2 linked regions of the Arabidopsis thaliana genome follow. The protein of the gene in region 2 interacts with the protein of the main gene of each other region in a pairwise test. Each region holds a gene or a part of one and is shown on either strand. Other genes may lie near its edges.

Region 1 (3,755 bases), on a different chromosome or scaffold from region 2:
ATTGTTTTTTAAGACTTTTCCGAGATCTTTGACTTAGCTTTTATGGAAGTCCTTTTTGGCAGTTTTTAAATTCACATCACATTGTTTTTAAATTCTATCACGTAACTTAAGTTTTTATCTACTTTGAGTTCCAAATTATGACCATTAACTTCATAATTGTTCATTTGAGCAATCTGCAGAACAGAGGTTTTGTATTGAAACAGAGCCCCCAAAAAACAGAACTTGAAGCAGAATTTAAGAGACATCATAAAATTAAATAAATTATGGAGATATGAGAATCAAATTGGAAAAGCTCTCAATCTCACTTTCTCTTCAACTTATAAACATGTCTAAACTCGTATGTGAAGACTTTTAAATTGGTAGTAGAATCAAAACACGTTATCAGCAACTTTCAAAGAACTTGATTTATATTAAAAAAATGGAGGGCCATAGTTGTTGGAATGAGGGTTACAAGTTTACAATATTAAAAAAAAAACATTTAAGAAGAATGATCAAATAAATGATTCATAATTGAAATTTACGTGAATTTAAATGCGAACTTTTTTTTTTTTTTAATTACTACATGAAATTGCATAAAACTTATTCATTAAATTAATTATTGAACCAAAAGATGACACACAAAGAAACTGAACAAAGATGAATAAAAAACTCAATCCCACTTGCTCTTTAACTTATCAACATGCGTAAACTCATATGTCAACACCAAACTCCCATCCATTCTCTTCAATTCGAAGCTCTCTATCAATACCAAACATCGATAACTCTTCCAATGCGATGACCCGCCTTCAAATCTCTCTGATCTCTTAATGTTAGATCTTTCACCGTTGTTTAACCATCCGAACCTTTCCTCTTCCCATTTCATCCTCTCCACGACAACAGACCCAAGACCTATCTTCTTGTCTTGTCTCTCATCCCCTAAAACACTAAACCAAACAAATCCACCACCACTTGTCTCTCTAGAAATAGTTTCTTGTCCCTCAAGCTTTACCACTTGTGTTTCTACGTCAACATCAACTACAACCTCTCCTCCTTTTTGGTTGTAGTTAACGTTTACGCATGAGTAAACCTCTTCCCATCTTTGTTTAAGCGTCATGCTGTAATAAGGTGAGCTCTTAATCTGATCTTTTGCATCTCTTTCTTTCACAAATATGAAAGGAACATACCATTTCCCTACCACAACACTTGTATTCATATCGTTGGGAAGCTTGGAACGAAGCGTAGTGTTGATCCCTTTTGCATCATCTGTCAAACCAAAGTCTTGGGAATTCGAATACTCAACGGTCCAGTACTTTCTCTTAAGGAACTCTGGTGGTATCCCATTAGGAGCAACTGAAGTGGCAGTGTAATAGCCTGATGATGGTTTACGTTGATGGACCTCGAACTGTTGATATATATCATAAGGATCTGCTTCTTGTGGCTTAACTTCAGGAACATAGCTGAAGCAAAAGCAGCAGGGGACTCTGTCTTCTTCCTTTGCACTCGCCGAAGCTCCTCTGCAATCCAAAATTAGTTTTTTTTTAATGAATACCATTTGTGCAAGTCAGGTCAAAAGGGGTGGCCAATCCGGTCAAACCGAAACCATCCCAAGAAAACCAAACCCAAAAGCAAGTATCTCGAACCATGCATGACATAAATTGATTAAAACCTCAAAAAAACAAAACAAAGTCAAGAAAGTAATTAAGATTTTTGGCCATACCCTGATTGCTTCCCACGTCGTTTAATGACATAATAACGGTTCGAATAATAAGGCTGATCAAGAACCGGAATGAACAGAACCTGGTCATGGTAACTGCGCCTGTCATTACCAGTTCCGGTTCTGTAAGTCACAGTCAGCTTTGCGTTCTGTGGGAACGGTAAGCCTTTGAGTTCACCATCGTAGCAATTTCCAAAGCAACAAGTCGGTTTTGACTCTTCGTCTTGAATCACAAGTACGCCGGAGTTTGGACCTTCCGGCAACGATCGTGTCAAGTCCGACGAGTTTCTCTGGTATTCGGAGAGATGCCTTGTAACATACATCTTGAATTCAGAATCTTGATCAGGTTATTGATTAGAAGAGATATGATATGTTTATATATTGCACCATGTATTGAGGATAACGCGGTAAGCAAATTTTACAAGTTATCGTTTGAAGACTTTTCAAATTTTTTTACTTTATGGTTCAATTCAAACTTTAGAATTCCAAAGTTATGACCTTGACCTGGTTTCACAAACCTATCATGGAGAATCAATCAAACAAATTCTATATTTTCTTTATATTATGATTGACCTAACTATAAGGATCTGCTTCTTGTGACTTAGCTTCAGGAAGAAACTGAAGCAAAAGAAACAGGGGACTCTGTCTTACTCTTTGGCACTAGCTAATGCTTTTCTACAAAATAATTACAAAACTTTTGAGGTTTTTTTCCTTTTAGAGTATACACCCTTTTTGTGCAAGTTAGCTTCACCACATAACACATGAACTTGCATTAACCTTTCAATAAAATGAACACACCATAAATTGAACACATAACACACAAAGAAGCTGAAATAAAGTCAATCCCACTTACTCTTCAACTTATCAACATGTCTAAACTCATACGTCAATACCAAACTCCCATCAGTTTTCTTCAGTTCAAAGGTCTCTACCAGTACATAGCATCTATAACTCTTCCATTGTGGTCCACCGCCTTCAAATTTCTCAGTTCTCTTAATGCTAGACTTTAGTTCATTGCCTTTCTTCGACCACCCAAACCTCTCTTCTTCCCATTTCATCCTCTCCAAGACCACAGACCCAATACCTATCTTCTGAGTCTCTGAGACACCAAACCAGACAACTCCATCTGAATTCACACCTTTTGTCTCTCTTCCAATATTTTCTCCTTCAAGCTTAACCACTTCTGTTTCTACCTCCACATCAACTATAACCTCGCAATTTTTATTGTCAACGTTTTCGCAGAAGAAAACCTCTTCAAATCTTTGGTGAAGTGTCATACTATAATACATCGATTTCTTCATCTGATCTTTAGCATCTCCTTCCTTTACAAACAAAAACGGAACATACCATTTTCCAACTACTACACTCTTACCGAAATCGGGAAGCTCATAGCGCAGCTTTGCATCAACTACACCCTTTGCATCATCAATCAAACCATAGTCTTGGGAAGCAGAGAAAGGAACGGTCCAGCCTTTTCTCCTCAGGAACCGAGGTGGTATTCCATCTGAAGCAACAGATGTAGCGAAAAACTTGCGAGTTGATGAGCCTCTTTGATGTATCTCAAATTGTTGGTATATGTCAAAAGGATCAAGAAGCCTTGGCGTAGCATTAGAGACATAAGTAAAACAAAGGCAACAAGAAACTTTGTCCTCTTCTTTTGCACTAACACATGCTTCTCTGCAATACCAATCAAAGTTTTAAAAGATGTGAATTTAGGCCGCTAAACTATTAATCTTGGCTTAATTAAAACTAAAACGATAAACTTTGATATCTACATAACATGAGAAAGATTCAATAGAATCATACCCTGCATGTTTCCCTCTTCGCCTTATAACGTAGTAAAGATTGGAAGAAGGAGGCTGGTGAAGAACGGGGATGAACGCGACCGAGTCAAGCAAGACAATTCTGTCATCTCCATCTATGGTGAAATCAAAGCTTAGATAATAAACAGAGAAGAAACAGAAACAGAGTAAAGTAAAATGATTGACAGAAAGTTAGGAGTGAAATGACTAGTAACTAACGTCCGATTTGGTATTTAACGGTGACTCTTGTGTTCTGAGGA
Region 2 (3,755 bases):
GCATGTATGATGCATACCTTAAGTCCTTATCTATTATTGGTTTGGGTATTCACCATACCCACATATAGAGAATCTATAAATGGACCCCCAAAGATCTTCTAAGCCCACAATTATCATCATATATACATACAACTACAAATCTACAATCATCCTCCTCTTCATTTCAAAATCAATTCCACATCAAGATGTTTTGGTACCCTTAAAATAGACATATGTAGAATAAGTTACCAATCTGTGTATATGTTAACTATATTGGAATCCGACCTCTATGCCCCTAATTAAACCCATATGTATATATATACACACAATACCACAGCCCGTAAACGCTTAACGTGAGAATGGTGGTGGTTGAGGAACAAAAGATTGAATAGGATCATGAAGTGTTTGGCCCTCCTCGCACTCCACTCTTGCCGCTTCACACATCATATTACTTGTTGCTAAGTTGCATCCATCTGTGTGATTACACGAGATCCAAAATTGTGTCAAGATTAGGTCTAGGTCACTTTTGTATAAAAATGATGGTGATGAATGGTTTACTATTAGTTTACGTTTTCATTATTCGAAAATGTGATTTTTACTAAGACGATAACCAAATAAATGAAACTAGTTCTTTAGCGTTTCGTATTGTTCAATAAAATTTCAGTAGCTCAAATTTCATTAGCTATTTACTAGTTCTTCCTCTTAATGCTAAATTTTTCATCAACGTATCAGATTGTTGACAACCAATTTCAACTAGTAAACCAAATAGTAGGAGAAATCACCTTCTTTGAACACAAAACCAGAACCGTTGCATTGTTTCTGAAACGAGAAACTACAAAGTTCAACTTCAATTTTCCCCTGCATCTCTACCAGAAGAGCCCGGAGTCTGATCAATTCAGTTTCCACCATTTCTTGGCTCTGAAGTTTTCTAAGGAATTGCTCATTCAGAGATTGCAATCTCATCACTTCATCTTCAAGGTATGCAGTGCGAGCCTTCTTCTTCTCCCTGTACTTCCTCACTGCCTCTCTATTACCACATAACCGTTTCTTGTTGCTACTGTCAGAATGATCATTCTCTTGCTGATCCTGCTGCAACATAAAAATATGTATCTATAACAATCCATTAAAATATCATCAGAAACATACCATATCTTAAGGGAAGAGATATTATTACAGAGATGATGAGATGAGTGTGAGCGTGGAAGCATGTGTGGGAGTGAGAAGCATCCTCTGGGCCTGGAGGGTTACAGCTATGAGTGTGACTACATCCTCTCGTTACTCGATCTTGATCTTTATCTTCTTCCTCATTCATCTTTATATATCTTTGATTCTGAGGTCCAAACTCAAGATCTCCAAAGAAAACACCTGTTCTGTTTGGGACATAGAATTATGGTGATATTATTAGGGTTTTTGATTAAAGTAAAGATGGTGTTGAAGAATATGTTCTTGATTAACATAGTGGATGAATAAAACAGTAGTCAACTCTTTATAATTTTTTGACATGGCCCAAGAAAGAAAAATCTTACAGAGAATCAAAGTTAGAAACTCGTTGGTTTCCTCTGCAATCCTTGCAACAACAAAACATCCAAGTACAAAGATTGATAGGCTTTTTGGTTTTGAGATTACCTTAAAATGTTTTTTTTTTTGTCTGTACCAAACTTTGAAATGGTTTTATTACTAGAAATTACGACGGAACAATAAGCAAAGCCATTTACCATATCCCCAGACCCCAATGAATAATATATTATAAGAAAGAGAATTGGTTCTTTAATGTCAATTGTCAAATTGTTTCGTATAGAAAAAGAAGAAGACTTTTCTCATGGATTTTAACTTATTGCACGTCTCTATCATTATTTAGTGTTCGCTGGCGGACACGTTTTGTAAACGTGTTTATCATCATCATCTTGCTTCCCGACGAGATTTGAGTTCAAGAAGCAAAAATGGCGAGTTTCATCAAGGCATGGGGTTTAGTGATCATCTCACTGTGTTACACTTTTTTCATTGCCAAATTGGTTCCAAAAGGAATCAAAAGGCTCATACTATTTTTCCCTGTCTTCCTCATTTTCTTCATAGTACCTTTCTTGATATATTCCTTACATTTACTCGGCATCACGGCTTTCTTCATCGCTTGGCTAGCAAATTTCAAGCTCTTATTATTTGCATTAGGGCGCGGTCCTCTCTCTTCAAACCATAAACCCCTATCTCTCCCTATTTTCTTAGCTGTCTCTTGCTTGCCCATCAAGATTCAGCTGAGCCCAAAACCTACAAAAACTCACTCCCATGAAGGATCCACAGAGGGTCCTTTGATTTATACCATAAAGGCAGTTTTTGTGGTTCTCATCATCAAAGCCTACGAATACAGTACCAAATTGCCTGAGAAAGTCGTGCTGACTCTCTACGCGATCCACATATATTTCGCCCTTGAGATCATCCTTGCCGCCACAGCTGCTGCGGTTCGAGCCATGTCGGATCTTGAGCTCGAGCCACAGTTCAACAAGCCGTACCTAGCGACATCACTTCAAGATTTCTGGGGGAGACGATGGAACCTGATGGTCACTGGAATCTTACGGCCAACCGTGTACGAACCGTCACTTCAACTGTTCTCGGTTTTGGGCCCGAACTATTCCCAGATTCTTGCAGCTTTCGGGACGTTTGTTGTCTCTGGGATAATGCACGAGCTCATCTTCTTCTACATGGGACGGTTGAGGCCAGACTGGAAGATGATGTGGTTCTTCCTCATAAATGGATTTTGCACGACCGTGGAGATCGCCATCAAGAAAACCATTAACGGTAGGTGGAGATTCCCGAAAGCAATCAGTCAGGTTTTGACACTCACTTTTGTGATGGTGACGGCATTGTGGCTGTTCTTGCCCGAATTTAATCGGTGCAACATAGTTGAGAAGGCTCTTGATGAGTACGCAGCCATAGGCGCATTTGCAGTCGAGGTCAGGAGGAAACTGACCGCATATCTTTTTTAACCCTGCCGTGTGACAAAGCTTGAGTGATCTCTATTTTAACTTATTTTTTTCTAACACTGTAAAACCGACATTTCTGCAACCCCATCATTTACATGGCACACGAATCAAGAAAATTGTGGAAGTTCATAATACTATACATAAAACCTTGCAAACATGATATGAAAGTAAAGATGAGGGGAAGAAACCCGCTCGAGTAGAGGCAATAACATGCAAAATGGATCAGCAAGATCCGCCTAAGTTACACATCTTAAGTCTATCTAAGGCAGTTAGAATTTGTCTACAACTCCTACAGCTAAAGCTTTTCCCACCAGAAATTAACGCACAGGGAGTTGCTTTCTTACTGATCATGGTGTTCATAAAAGTCCAAGCTTTTGGCGGAAGATCAGTTCCACTTCACCACGAATGCTCTCCACATCTGCAGCATAGTCTCTCTTGTATTCATCCGCCATTGATTCCTCCAGCTGTAGCTTCATTCTCTCTAATGCTTCTTCCAACCCGCAGGACTCTTTGAGAACCTGAGGCTCTATGGATTTAAGTTGAAGAAGAGTTTGGATTGCTGTAAGAGCCTGAAACATATTTTCCGAGTAGCATAAGTTAGAAAGAGATGTGTGCCAAGATTCATAGAGGAAGAAAAACGGTCATAGGCCCCTGTAATAGTTCTACCTTTTCTTGGAGATCAAGATCAAGCACCACAATCAAATCGACAACAGACTTTAGGAAAAGACGATCTTTGAAAATAGGAAGTTCATCTTTCTCTGTGTTCTGTAGTTGAGACTCAGCCAAATCACCGACTAAGAA

The links.
Region 1: the proteins of BZIP24 (region 2) and AT1G13520 interact in a two-hybrid assay, tested with the Arabidopsis thaliana proteins (one large-scale study listed by BioGRID).

The regions. Positions count from the first base shown.
Region 1 is NC_003070.9:4,631,208-4,634,962, forward strand, and holds AT1G13520 (hypothetical protein (DUF1262)), read right to left. Parts: upstream 2,093-3,755; 5' UTR 2,017-2,092; coding exon 1,697-2,016; intron 1,494-1,696; coding exon 650-1,493; 3' UTR 426-649; downstream 1-425. Other genes in the region: AT1G13530 (hypothetical protein (DUF1262)), read right to left, coding at 2,533-3,370, 3,500-3,611, 3,715-3,755.
Region 2 is NC_003074.8:19,282,501-19,286,255, forward strand, and holds the start of BZIP24 (basic leucine zipper 24), read right to left. Parts: upstream 1,693-3,755; 5' UTR 1,565-1,692; coding exon 1,506-1,564; exon of another isoform or gene 1,350-1,505; coding exon 1,154-1,349; intron 1,069-1,153; coding exon 762-1,068; intron 453-761; coding exon 328-452; 3' UTR 1-327. Other genes in the region: ASAT1 (acyl-CoA sterol acyl transferase 1), read left to right, coding at 1,920-2,957; AT3G51980 (ARM repeat superfamily protein), read right to left, coding at 3,311-3,523, 3,621-3,755. UniProt on the Arabidopsis thaliana protein: Transcription factor involved in the regulation of salt stress response. Functions as a negative transcriptional regulator of salt stress acclimation response by regulating cation homeostasis.